Linked DNA regions of Mus musculus: region 1 is reported to be linked to region 2. Evidence: microRNA targets listed by miRTarBase, many of them from high-throughput screens and not tested one by one. Region 2 holds a microRNA gene; the other region holds the end of a gene's coding sequence.

What was found. The annotated mature microRNA mmu-miR-878-3p reads GCAUGACACCACACUGGGUAGA and lies in region 2 at 4,610-4,631, opposite strand. An mRNA with a match to its seed (bases 2 to 7 or 8) in the 3' UTR can be bound and repressed. Matches are read on the target gene's strand: a 7mer-m8 pairs with bases 2 to 8, a 7mer-A1 pairs with bases 2 to 7 and ends in A, and an 8mer does both.
Region 1: miRTarBase lists Mterf4 as a target of mmu-miR-878-3p. The part of its 3' UTR that is shown has no 7-base or 8-base seed match.

The regions. Positions count from the first base shown.
Region 1 is chr1:93,294,987-93,302,089 of GRCm38, reverse strand. It overlaps Mterf4 (mitochondrial transcription termination factor 4), which reads left to right. Exons shown (of 4, transcript NM_178051.4): 4 at 295-885. The coding sequence ends at 630. It overlaps Sned1 (sushi, nidogen and EGF-like domains 1), which reads right to left. Exons shown (of 31, transcript NM_172463.4): 30 at 6,289-6,370; 31 at 5,642-5,823. The coding sequence ends at 5,812. Among named protein-coding and RNA genes, the nearest start is that of Mterf4, 7.3 kb to the left of the region's middle.
Region 2 is chrX:66,796,909-66,804,029 of GRCm38, forward strand. Mir878 (microRNA 878) reads right to left here and starts at 4,677; the gene lies at 4,600-4,677. It overlaps Mir463 (microRNA 463), which reads right to left and starts at 2,389; the gene lies at 2,315-2,389. Mir880 (microRNA 880) reads right to left here and starts at 3,699; the gene lies at 3,622-3,699. It overlaps Mir881 (microRNA 881), which reads right to left and starts at 5,113; the gene lies at 5,036-5,113.

The sequences.
Region 1 (7,103 bases), not on the chromosome of region 2:
ATCTTAGGATTTCTTTGGGTCTGATTTTTCCTACACTCATGATTTTTGTTGCCCTATTTAAAGAAAAGTATATCCCTGTATGCCCCTTTGTTTTCTGATGCATTTTTCTCAGCTTGAATTTGGAAATGCTTTGAAAACTTGAGATTTCATAAAAGTGTTGGTATTATACTACAGTGGCTATTCTACCATTTCTAATTAGGCAACTAATGACTTTGGACTAAAGTTTGTTTTGAGTTGGAATGACAGGCTTCAGGTTTCTCTACATGGATTCCTGAACATGTTTGTATCTTTCAGTATGCATATTTCAGGATGGGACTCACACATCTAGACATAGTCAGGACGAATTTCTTACAGTATTCAATAACCAAGATCAAGCAGAGACACATTTACCTGGAGCGCCTTGGACGGTACCAGACCCCTGATAAGAAGGGGCAGACACAGATCCCTAATCCCTCACTGAGGAACATTCTCAGAGTTTCTGAAGCTGAGTTTTTGGCCAGGACAGCCTGTTCCTCTGTCGAGGAGTTTCAAGTTTTTAAAAAACTCTTGGATCAAGAGGAGGAGGAGGAGTCTGAGAGCCATGCATCTGAGGAGGAAGAGGAAGAGGAGGAAGAGGAGGAGCTACTGTGACACAGCACTGGGGTGTCAGAGGTCATTCTCATATTCTCGAAGTGCTGGGGACCTTCACCTGGATCTTCTCAAGCACTTTTGATCCCAACACTGGTATTTTGATGGGGGAAAAAACCAACCTGTAATGATCCACTGGAGATACAGGTAGATAAACCAAACCAAATGAGGGGTGCTTTGTTGTGGGTTCTTTGGGAGGCCCTACTCCATCCTAAATAAAGGACTCGGCTGTCAAAATCCAGGGGGTGCAACCCTTCCAGGTTGGAGTCTTTTTCTCTGTTAAAATAAGTTGTGCTAGTTCCAAAACCATGTGGAGAGAGAGGTGCCTTTCGGCTCAGGAGTACTTTGTATGTCCAGGTAGTAGTAAAGATGAAGTCATGAAATTGAAACATGAGGGTTAGTATGTCATAGCACTTTATTTAATGAAAACAAGTAGCAGGTTTCCCACACAATAGGCAGCTTCTAAATCTGACACCATTTCCCAGCCTTCTGACGTGTTGAGTGTACAGCAGAGTGAGAGGCAGTTGGTTACGTTAGTAACATGTCCTTTAGTCACACGGTTGTCAGACTAGCAAAATGCTTCTCTGTCAGTTGCTGACCCTTCCTGCTTGGGCAAGTTGGCCTTCATGTTGGTTCCTGGCTGGTTGCCACTTCAAGGCCTCCTATCTTTCTGGCTCTGTAGACTGTGCTAAGAGTGAGCTGCTCAGAGACCAGCACTGGGGAGCACTGGGCAGTGTGGAGTGTGTGCAGTGGAGCCATGTGATGTACTGGGACTAGGATGAGGTGAGCTGGAGGAGAGGCCTGATTTGGTGGAGCTCAGGCTTAGAGGGTCAGAGAACTGAGGCCTCTTGGAAAGTTGTCTGTGCCTCTTCCTCAGGAAACTGCACAGGGTGATGCAGAAAGCTTTTTGGTTATAGGATCAAAGTCAGGAGTGCTTGGTAGTATTTTTCCCCCATTTGGTGACATTTAACAGTCACACGAAACCCAATGTGGGCCTTGTGTTTAGACTGAATCCAGTGCTTACGTGAGGATGACCTTAATCCTCCAGACATCTGACAATCTTTGGGGATTTGTGTGTGTGTGTGTGTGTGTGTGTGTGTGTGTGTGTCATGGCCTCAGGATCTTGTGGTCAGAGCCAGGGATGCTGTAAAATATTGTACATTGCACCGCATAAGGAATAATTAGGCCCACAAAGCAATGCCAAAGCTGAGAAACTGCTCAAAGACCTGGCCCACAAAAGTACTGTGACTACAGCTAATGTGTGTTGTAAATGGACCTGATGTATCATTTCTGTCTAAAGCAGAGATACTGCTGGATCTGAGGTGCATTTTGTGAGGAATCAGCACCAAGGTGAGGCGGCTCTTGACTTACCTGGAACCTGACTGCAAAGAGGAGGGTGTTTACAAAGAAAAGCAATCATTCCAAGATTCCTCCCCCCACCCCTACCCTCCACACACACAGTTCTCACTATGGCAGGTATGTGAGGCAAGCTCATTCCTGGCAAGGGCGTGTCCTTGCCTGTTGGACTCTCCACAGAAAGCAGGACGTAGCAAGCCATCTTCTCTACCCCACATCCCATAGGCAGTAGAGGGGAACGAATGCCTTCTGCCTGTTCTTGGCTGTGGACAAAGCTGTTTGAGAACAATGATCCATTCTTTGCTGCTTACTCTTCCCATTTTGTGGTCTTTTTGTGATCGACACTCTCCTCCCTGAATGTAGGGTGTTTGGCCTTGGACTCATCAGAACGGAATAGAATCCTAACTGTGAGCTCAATTAGGTAATCTACTCATCTTCAGTTTTGATTAGCAAATGGTGAGCCCAACAACTCATAATTACTTCAGTTGGACACAAAAATAAATCTCCACCTTGTCTGTTTGCTGATTCCACTATGACATTTCCCAAGTGGACGCTGACTGTTTTGAGGGATTTAATTATTCTGTGTAAGAAAGCAGAGACAGCATGTTTGGAATGATGTATACTAATTCCTCAGCACAGGCAAGTCTTTCTCCACTCCAGTTGGAATGATTGCCCGACAGCGCCACACAGCAGGCTGGCTCCAACTGGAGATGGGAATGTGGCAGCATCGGCTTGGGGGTGAGAGTCCTGAGGTATAGTACGAAGATCCCATCTACGTTCCCAGAGGTGCTGCTTGATCTTGCTGTTCACTGTTAACACTGTAGCTTACTCGGTCTCCAGATCTCTAGTGGGTATCTAAGATACAGTAGTGAGTTTTTGATGTGACTGACCCTCCTTGAAAAAGAAAAAAAAAAGTAATACATAGGCTCAGAATTTTCTAGTGAGAATAAAATGTAAAAGGTTATACTTCAAAGTATGTTTTTATGAACTGTGGAGGGCAGAAGGCCTCTCTGGTCGGGATGCAGTTCTTGGTGCTGGTGCTGGTCAGCTCTGCTCTCATGGAATCTAGGTGTGGTTGGCTTTTCTGATTGTGCGGTCACTGCAGGGAGGAGGAAGCTGCTTAGAGCCTTGGGAATGGGATGGAAAGCGGAGGCTGTGTAAAGAAAGTATTTTCGTTTTGGTGGCCCACAGCCATCTACTTCAGGCGCAGATTACAAGAAGCCTTGGTTGGACCCTGTGTCCTGCAGCCGGCCTGCCCTGTGCTACTGTGGGCTGCGTTTAGATTTGAACTGATAGCTTTTGCTGCTCTATGGTGTAAGTATGTATACCTTAGGCTCCTGAGCAAGGGTCTTGATTGCTTTTCTTCTATGAAAGTTTAGGGGTTTTTCATGTCTTGATGGCTACTTGTCATTCAGGAGATAGCATTCTCCACAGAAGGCTGAAGTCTAGATCATCTTATAAACCAGGCACCTGCCTGCCAACTCTAGCCTACCGCCTGTTTTCGTAAATGAAGTTTCATTGGAATGTAGCTATGCTATCTACATCTGTTACCATGTTGGCAGTACAGTAGCAGGGTCACGTGTGTGCCAGAGAGGTCATTCTATCTTCGAAGCCCAAAATCCTGCCTGAGCATCTGACTGCCCTGCCACCCCTGAGTTGTAGACCAAGTGTCTAAACTCCACCATAGTAGTAATTAGCACTTCTTCTTTAGGTCAGTATAAATGAGGAGAGGAGCAGGGTAGAGGTCACCTGTTTCCACACAGCCTTTCTTGTATTTTTTATGAAAGTTGAGTCTTTTCCTTCTCCATGTTTTGGGAGTTCAAGGGTCATGTCTCTGGCACGGGGATCTGGGGGTGGGTTTCTGAGCACAGAAGCACCACTCACAGAGCCTGGTAACCCAGGTAACTCCCCACAGGGGAACTGACCAGAGCTGCAGAAACAGCAGGCTGGATTGAGATGGCAGGTGCTTCAGTGCTTCCCCGGCAGGCGGCTTTGGGTGTGCAGGTCTGGTTGTCTCTTTTCTGGAAATCTGAGGACAGAGATCTCAGGGGAGACTGCTTTCAGCCAGGAGCTTGGCTTTTAAGTTTTGGACATCATTTTCCTGAGTTTTGGAAATCCGGGAGGTGGGCAGTGTTACCAGCACATGCTGGTCCTTTTGAAGGAGTAACAGTGAGCTGGGGCACACTCCTCTTTGTACCCACTGTCTTTCTCTGGAGACAGCAAGCACTGTCCCCAGGAGCCAGATTTCCAGCCGGCTGGGATGCAGGGAGGGATGGACAGGAGCCACGCACCCTGAGGACACTCGTGCCCAGCCTGGGGCTTTGCATCAGTAGGCTGCTTGGCCCTCTGCTGCCTTTCTTTTGGCGGGGATGGCACTGCCGGCTTTCTCAGGGCAGCTGTGGGTCGCAAATTCTGGTGTTTTTCTTCAGAGAAAGAGAAAGGGCTGTGTGTAATGTGTGTTGCTCTGAGAATAGGAATTCTATAAGCCATTATGTGGTAAGTATCTAGGATTCTCTCTCTCTTTTTTTTTTTTATAAAAATGGGTTTTCTGGGTGAGTTCGTAAAAGATGCATTAATATTTCAAGTGACTTATTACCATATAAATATTTTAAAACCAAATAATTTGTGGATTTTTTATCTTTGCCAGATGTGTTGCTCACAAGTGTTGGAGGGTGTTTTGTGTGCATTCTTGGTGCTGGGCTGAAAAGGCGATGCTGTTGGGTGCACAGGACTTGAGTCTTGTCGGCTGTTCTTCCTGCAGAGTTTCACATCTGAACCGGTCAGGAGGCACAGGCCCTGCTCCCTAGGCCCGTCTGAGAGCCTGCCCTCCTGATGCCTGCCTGATTTCAGGGTCCGACTGTGAGCTTCTGTCTGTGCCTGTCACTGTCACTGCAGGCACTGTTTTCTTAGGATGACCTTCACCCGGAACTCCATTGCTTTTGTTTGTTCTTAGGCCTTTGGGTGACATTTCTCCTTCATGTCCTACACTATAGAAGAAAAAGGTGATAGTCACTCCTGAAGTGGGAGCTTTCCAGATATGCCTCTCTTCCACCACTGGAAAGATGGACTGCCCTGGCTCCTCCAAGGGAGAGGAGTAAATTCTCTCTGGCTAGCCAGTCTGTCATTCCAATTATGCCAATAAGTCAGTGTGGGGCTGTGTTCAGCCTATACAGGGATTTCTGTAGTGTAACCCAGTATTTTCCAGACTACTGTGAAAAAAAAAATTCCAATGCCCTTTAACATCTCACAGTTTATGCTTGGGGAGGCGGGGTGGGGCATGCTGGATCAAACGGGCAGTTTCTTTGATTTCAGGGTTATTAGTGCTTAGAATTCCAGGGTCCACTCTAGCACCCCCAGAGAGAGGCTATATTTAGGATCTCCTGCAGGTTACATGACAAGACTCCCGCCCTAGTCTACCAGCAGAATGCTGCTCGTAGGGCTTGGGGGTATGTCCTTAGGTCCTTTCCTTTGGCATTGTTTGGACTGTTTGGCATCCTTGATCCATCTGCCAGCAAGGCCCATGGTCCTGAAGGGGCCAGGTGATTCTTGTACCTCATTGTAACTGGTCTGCAATGAGAGAGTCATTTCCACCTGAAAGTAGATTCATATGCAAGCTCAGACCAGGTTATGTCTATTGAGAGGCTATAGACAGGGAATTCTGGAACCTTCCTGGTTGGGTCTGTAACAGCACAGTGCTGAGTTGTCACCATCAGTGTCTGATAAAGGACCTTGGTGTCCAGGTTGCTGGGTGTGATGGTGTCTCCAGTTCTCAACAGATCTTGGTATGAAGGAGAATGATTTCCTTAAGATCTCTTCAGTGTTTGACTGTTACTTTGTTTCCTGAAAGAATTAAGAAAACCAGTTTGGTGAGAAAGACTCTTGTGTACCTGAAACCCTACCTCTGTCAGCCTCATCGGTTCCTCATATGTAACCCAGCGAAGCCCTCACAGGCTGACAGGGAGCCTGGCCTTTCAGTCCAGCTGCACACACCAGCTGAAGGATGCTATGGGATGAGCAGAAAGCAACCAGGCATTGTGGGGGGACTTCAGGTTAGGCACTGACCTGTTGGTCACATTTCATGTTTTCCTGTCAGCACCACATTCCCTGTGCAGAACGGCAGTGACCACCTCCAGGCACAGCTGGGCCTATCTGTGCACTCTTGTGTGCACATGTGGGCACTAGATTCTGAGTAGAGTATAGCCACACATGGGCTGCAATTTTGGGCAAACAACCTAGCTTGACCCAGCCCTGTCACTACCCACCCACAGAACTGCATGCACAACCTGGCCTGGCCCAGAGATGCACCTGTTTGGGTTTCCTGAGGCTTGTGCTCTGGCAGCGCTCCTTAAAGCACACGTCCTGGTGAACTTTGTAGACTTTCTTATACCTGTTGTCACAACAAAACAACAAAACTCTGTGAGGCCAGACACTGGGGCAGAGAGGTGGCCAACTCATTCACCTAGGCTGTGTAGCCTACATATGGACAGAAGGAGAGACCACTATTTTCTTAATACAGTGTTACTGGGGTGTGTGTGTGTGTGTGTGTGTGTGTGTAAAAAGTCTAATATAAAAGTACAGGGACTTAAAAATTAATTTGACTGAGTATAACATACATAAAAAAGTATTCATTTCAGGGTACATTTTCATGAGTTGCTGACAAAATCGTGGTATTGAAAAGCCCACTGAAATTCCTAGGCAAATGGTTGGACCTGGAGGGCATCATCCTGAGTGAAGTAACCCAATCACAAAAGAACTCAAATGATATGTACTCACTGATAAGTGGATATTAGCCCAGAAACTTAGAATACCCAAGATATAAGTTACAATTTGCAAAACACATGAAACTCAAGAAGAATGAAGACCAAAGTGTGGACACTTTGCCCCTTATTAGAACTGGGAACAAAATACCCATGGAAGGAGTTACAGAGACAAAGATTGGAGCTGAGACAAAACGATGGACCATCTAGAGACTGCCATATCTAGGGATCCATCCCATAATCAGCCTCCAAACGCTGACACCATTGCATACACTAGCAAGATTGTACTGATAGGACCCTGATATAGCTGTCTCTTGTGAGAATATGCCGGGGCCTAGCAAACACATAAGTAGATGCTCACAG
Region 2 (7,121 bases):
AAGCTAGTCTGTCACCTTCAATTAGAAATCATAACTCCACAATTCTTGCATTCTTACCTCATTTAGTAGTAAATCTTAGAGAATACCTACCAATTCTACTATATCATGATTTTCTTTCACATAGTATCATCTTATGTCACCATTTCTATAAATAGTTTTCACTACAGCTAATATTCAGTTTTTTTATTCAAATTAATACATCCAGCACGTTTTACTTACTAAAAATGTTTTTCCCTTACAATATATTCTGATCATGCTTTCACCTATTCTCAGATCTGCCCTACCACCTCACTCATCAACCCCAAACATCTTTCCCTTGATTTAAAAAAAATGAACTAGCAATAACACAAAACTCATCAAAATGAAAGTTAAAGAAAAAGCAAAAATCAGAGAAACAGTTACCATTACAACTATGCATGAAACATATATTTATTATTTCTAAATACTAAGGATAGTAAAACATACTTTTACCTTGTCAATCTTGCAACCTAGCCTATATCATATTCTTTTTTTTTTCCTATATCATATTCTAACACCATGGTGGGAAAGACATGCGTACATAAATTACCTAATTTTTATTTACTTATTTATTTATTTTATTTATTTCCTAACTTAATACCCTCCATTCATATAGTCTCAAAATTATTTGTGAACCAAATGATAGTAAAATATTATCATATAAAAGAATAATATTTCCTACAAGATCAAATGGCCATCTAAAATCCCAGAAGCCCCAAAACTTTAAGTTTTGGAATACCATTTTCATATTCACGAAGCCACAATAAATGAGTAAAGTTTTCTTCCACTTAGAGGTAAACACACATTTATTTCTGTTAATTGGAAAATTATATTCTACTTATAAATACTATAAAACTAGATTAACTTAAGGTTAAAAATAAACCAAAAATGTGAAGTCCCGCTTAAAACTCTTAATTATCACTCAAAATTTATCAATTCACCCTACAGCATAAAATATAAACCTTAATTGTATTTATATGTCCTTATGAAATAATTCTATAGTATTCTTTCCCACATATTTCCATCTAGTTATTATGAGCAGTTATTTGCACGAATGGCTGTCAAAATTGAGATTAAACCAGGAAAAGCTCATGATTCCTCAATCCTACACAAAGAACTATACACAACTAGAAAAGCCAGTATTGGGAGATGTCTCCTAACTCCCAGCACTCATGGAAGAACATTCCATTTGGTTGTCTAGTGCAAAACATTCATCCTGAAAACATACAAACAAGTAACACTATACAGACTTAGCAGAATATATTTAGGAATAAATAGCTATATAAAAATACATCAATACATTCAGTAACAATTATTGACAAACATCATCAATTTGAGGGAGAGCAGGGAGGGAAATATGAAAGTGTTTGGAGGGAAAAATAAGAGGTATAAATATTATAATTAAATTATAATTTAAAAATATACTGAACTAAATCTGTAATTTAAAAACATGTAATGATTGTTGTATCTGAATGTTTATAAATCTTGATGTGTCTGCAAGGTTAACATTAAAGAATAAATGCCACATGAAACTCAAGAAGAATGACACATGAAACTCAAGAAGAATGAAGACTGAAGTGTGGACACTATGCCCCTCCTTAGAATTGGGAACAAAACACCCATGGAAGGAGTTACAGAGACAAAGTTTGGAGCTGAGATGAAAGGATGGACCATGTAGAGACTGCCATATCCAGGGATCCACCCCATAATCAGCATCCAAACGCTGACACCATTGCATACACTAGCAAGATTTTATTGAAAGGACCCAGATGTAGCTGTCTCTTGTGAGACTATGCCAGGGCCTAGCAAACACAGAAGTGGATGCTCACAGTCAGCTAATGGATGGATCACAGGGCTCCCAATGGAGGAGCTAGAGAAAGTACCCAAGGAGCTAAAGGGATCTGCAACCCTATAGGTGGAACAACATTATGAACTAACCAGTACCCCGGAGCTCTTGACTCTAGCTGCATATGTATCAAAAGATGGCCTAGTCAGCCATCACTGGAAAGAGAGGCCCATTGGACTTGCAAACTTTATATGCCCCAGTACAGGGGAACGCCAGGGCCAAAAAGGGGGAGTGGGTGGGTAGGGGAGTGGGGATGGGTGGGTATGGGGGACTTTTGGTATAGCATTGGAAATGTAAATGAGCTAAATACCTAATAAAAAATGGGAAAAAAAAGAATAAATGCACCTTACTAAACTTTGGTCCTTTAGATACAAATGCCAAATTAAGGCCAGCAAGCTCTAACAAGGGTTAATGCTTCTATACCACAATGATGTTCCAGGTGATGAACATAGTGAACCTTCCTCTACCTTATATGGTGTCTATCATCATTTATGTTTTACATGATGGACAACAAATTAGGTAAAGCAGGGTACATCATACCTTTAATATAAAAATGTTGCAAATGTAGCTTCCATGATCCTCTTTATCTTTTAGCAAAGTACCAATTGTACATTGTTGCTAAAACTTGACATACTTTGTGTATAATATATATACATATATGTACACACACACACACAATCTACAAATTGTCACCAAAAATTCCTCCAAGAGAATATCCTCTGATGTGTCTTCTGTTTCAATTAATGGTATTCTCTACCAAGACAATACGGGGGACTGTAATTTCACTTATATAAGTTAGAATTTCTCGTTGAAGTTATTTTTCTTCCTCCTGTAACATGCAAGTATTAAAATAATTATTAGATTTGTGTGTTCAGCAAGGAATAACTACAGAACCCATAAAAATAGAAAAAGGCCACTGGGTAGAGAGTTGTGAGAAAAGCTTACTAAAAGGGTAACAAAACACAGGTGGTATGGAAGAGGAAAGGAGACTAATGGGGGGGGGCATTGTTTAACTGTGGAGCAAGGTAAGATTCTAGGATAAGTGAGGGAGTAGGGAAGAAATGAGTATCACAACTCTGTTTTAAATATCCATATAAGAACAATATATGGTAGATACAGTGACCTGTAGTTTGCGTAGATGATTGCCAACACTGTATCTGTAAAATTAAATTCATTTTATTAATTCATATGAAGAATAAACTAAATGTTTTGCACTTTTATGCTTACATACTTGTATATATTCATAAGGTGAGTACACAAATGAAATCTTCATTAAATATTGCCTTACCCAATATGGGATATCATCTTTTATGTTTCCCAGGGTGCACAGAAAATTAGCTAAAGCAGCATACATTATATGTAAATGTTGAAATGTTGAAATCTAGCCTCTACAATCCCCTTTTTATCTTTAGCTTGCATCAAGTTACCAACTCACATGATAACTAAATGCTAGTCTAATTTGTTCATGCATCATCATGGATTCCATCAAGAACCTATCTTTTTAACATTCCTCCAGCTTCAGAAGAATGGTTTTCACTAGCATGAAAGTTAGCTGACTGCCATTTTCTCTGAACCGTAGTATTTCCCAAAAAGATCATTTTTTATCCTTCTGTAGTCTGTTCACTCATCCAAGCTATCTAAGGTGAAGTGTAATACATTGAAGCTGAAGACTGGAAAACACATCTAATATGCATGCATGTATCAACCTCACCATATCCATACATGAGACATTTACAGGTACCAAAACTGGTGATTGGTGTGCCTTACTCTACTCAGAGAGGATGGAGTAACATGCAATAGGAAGTGACTCATATCAATCTGAGTATTGCAGTGCACACAGTTTGTTCAGTGATGTCCTGTGTCTCAGCTTGATCCCACAATCTTCAGTATATTCCAGCAATTATATAAATATAGTTAGATACATCAACAATACCTTATTTATTCATAGGTTTAAAAGGACTATACTGCACTTTATCTTTCACAACTCTTCATATTCTATGATCTATAGTATTTAACTTTATACATGTATGCACTAATAAAAGTACCTTATGTTAGCACCTTTCTTTACATTATTTAACATGAGGTTCATAAGATTAAGAACAGACTGTCCAAAGAATGTTAAAGAGAATTTAAGCCATCAGATATCAAAAATTCCTCTATAAATAGGAACTTCAAGTTACCTTGGTTACATACAGAGGCCATTATATGAGTTACTTGCTGAACCTTCCTTTAAGAAAATCCATGGTCATAAGGACTTCATCTCATCAGTACCAATGTTAATATAAAAATGAGCATAATTGTATTTAAGTAGACACTGTCACAAAAGCTTCCTTCATCTCCTGCCCATTTTATTACATAGTCATCAAACCACAATGTTTGAACTCTTCTGTAATTTAGGCTTAAAATCATATTATCAAACACCTTTAGTATGTGTTTCTCATACCATAAATCCTTTTACTTGCCTTCTTCTAAGGGAAATGACTGTCAAAATAAAGAGTGGAGGTTTTATAAATGTATTCATGTACTGGGAACTGTGTTAATGTACTTTATTTTTTCTTGTCTGACTTAAAGAGATTCTTTCTGACACTAACACAACATTCCTTATGTAAAGGTAACAATATAAATACACCTAGAAACACAATATGCATGGTTCTATTTCTGTGCAGCCAAACTAACAGCAGCATTCATTTATCAGCACTGTGACCACCCAAGCCCACAACAAATGAGGAACACTGTGAGCCCTCCTCTACCCAGTGTGGTGTCATGCACTTAAGTTTCACGTGTCTTGACATCCAACTAGATAAAGCATTGCACACAACACTCTTTTCATTAACTTGCTGTATAAGAAGCCTCTATCATACACTTCAGCTTTTATCAGAGACTAAATTAAAAAAAAACATGATAACTATCCTTTGACATAATTTGTCCATCTACTTTTGAGAATAATTAATCACTCTCCTTCACCACGCTTTTACATAAAGCATGTCCTGTAACTAACTTTCCTTTTCAGTGAATAGTTATACTATCCAGAAAAATAAACAGATTGCATCTTTGTATATTAAGATGATCCCCAATGACGATTGAAGTTACCGCCGTATCAATCTTGAGGATGTGTTATGATACAGTGCCTCCTGTGATCTTCAGTGAGTATATCACTAAGGCTGTTTTTGGTGAACATTACTCTATTCAGAAAAGACACAGTTACTTTAGAAAAGATGTGACTGTTATCTCTCTGAATATTGTACTGCACACAATTTGTTCATTGAGTATGAGGAATAGCATCAGCCTGTCCCAAACACCAGCATATTTCATATTATACCACACTCAGATTGTTAATATGAATGTTAATGTGACCACATATTCTAAAATCTCATTCCCAATCATATTTATGACAACCACAGGCCTTCTGACATACATTCTTACAAACTAGATGTTTTGGAGAATCAATAATATAATCTTTAACTAATTTTTATTTTTTATAGGGTATATACTTAATCCTGTCCTTTTTTTTATAATCTAAGACAATTAATGATTAAGAATAGGAATCAAAATAATCACAATGCCTCTTTCCTCTATCTTGTAATATACCACTATATTAAGTTTGCATGATGATGATTCTGAATAGACTGGGTTCAATTTGTGGTCATCCATGACATAGGATGCTATTTTCTAAGACTTAAACTATGCATAAAGGACACTGACATATAGGCACTGCAAAGAGAACAACTTTGCTGTATTTGAAGGTGATGATTCTTGTTATTATTATATCACTAGAACATTTATCAGTCCTGTGTGACTCCTGAACCCTGAATTAATTTATTCCTAACATATTTAATTGTGCTTACGATATGGTCATTCATCATGCATAACAAATGAAAGCCTTTGATCCTATATTGTTACTTACTTCGTTGAATCGAATGACCAATAATGCATGTTTATTTCATTTCCAATTTTTATAAGTAAAGTATTTTTATGTTGTCTAATACATGTGAGTCAACTGAACAAAGAATAGAAATAAAGTCATCATTAATAAACCCTATGAACTAGAAATATCACAGGACTACTTAAGATTATTAAAGACCAGCCAAAGAAATTAGGAGCTATCCAAAGGTCAATATCCAGAAGTTTAATAAAGTAATACACTTGGTGAAGCTTGCTCTTAAAAGAGTTGGTTGCATTTTACTCAATCTGGAACAACACTTTGCTCCCATACAAACAAGAACATTAATGTATAATGAATAAGTTATTCTGATTTTAAACTTTAAGGAGCATGGGATAAACTAGGAAACATACTTCTAGGTTTATCACTGAATATGCTCCTAGAACAATTAGCTGACTGGAGAACATCATTCAGAGTAGGAAGATACAAGATAATCCGGAAACAAAAATATTTTTGCATTCAAGTCTTTGACTCTTTCAGAAAAAATTGAGATACCCTAGCTGCTGATTGTTGTCAGGCTTCTTTGATTTGACCTTGTAAAGTGGACTAAAGAAAAAGAATGAATCAAGCTGATTATTAGCACTCCTCCTTGACTTCTTACTACAAGATACAGAAATAATGACTAAAAAGATAAGTAGAAATTATGATCAAACAAAAAATTGTAAGTGAATAAAAAGCATAGTGAAAATCTTCATAAAAATTAAATTGAGATGGAATAATTAAGATTGATGAATAGCAATATGAGCTGGTTGTTTTGCATCAACCTGGTATAAACTCATCCATATCTGGGAACAGGGAATCTTAATTTTGAAAGTACCTGTGAAAGATTGGGTTATAGGTAAGTGTGTAGGGCATTTTCTTGGTTAATGATTGAGAGGATTTAAGTTACTATAGTAGTACCATTCCTGAGTAGGTAATCCAGGATGGTAATAGAGAGAAAACTAAGCAAGCCACGGAGAGAAAGCCAGTAAGCTTCACTCCTTCATGATGATTTTTTTCCCCATGTTTTACTGTTTTATAAAAGCAGACATCAAACCCAGATGCTATTGTGGATGCCAAGAAGTGCATGCTGATGGACTGGCTCTGCCATAACCTGACAAACACAGAGGTGGATGCTCACAACCAACCATCGGACTGAGCATGGGAACCCCAATGGAGGAGCTAGAGAAAGGACCCAAGGAGCTTAAGGGGTATACCCCCAGAGCTCCCAGGGACTAAACCACCAACCGAAGAGTACACATGGAGGGACCCATGGCTCCAGCTGCATACATAGCAGAGGACTGCCTTATTGGGCATTACTGGGGGGGGGGCCCTTGT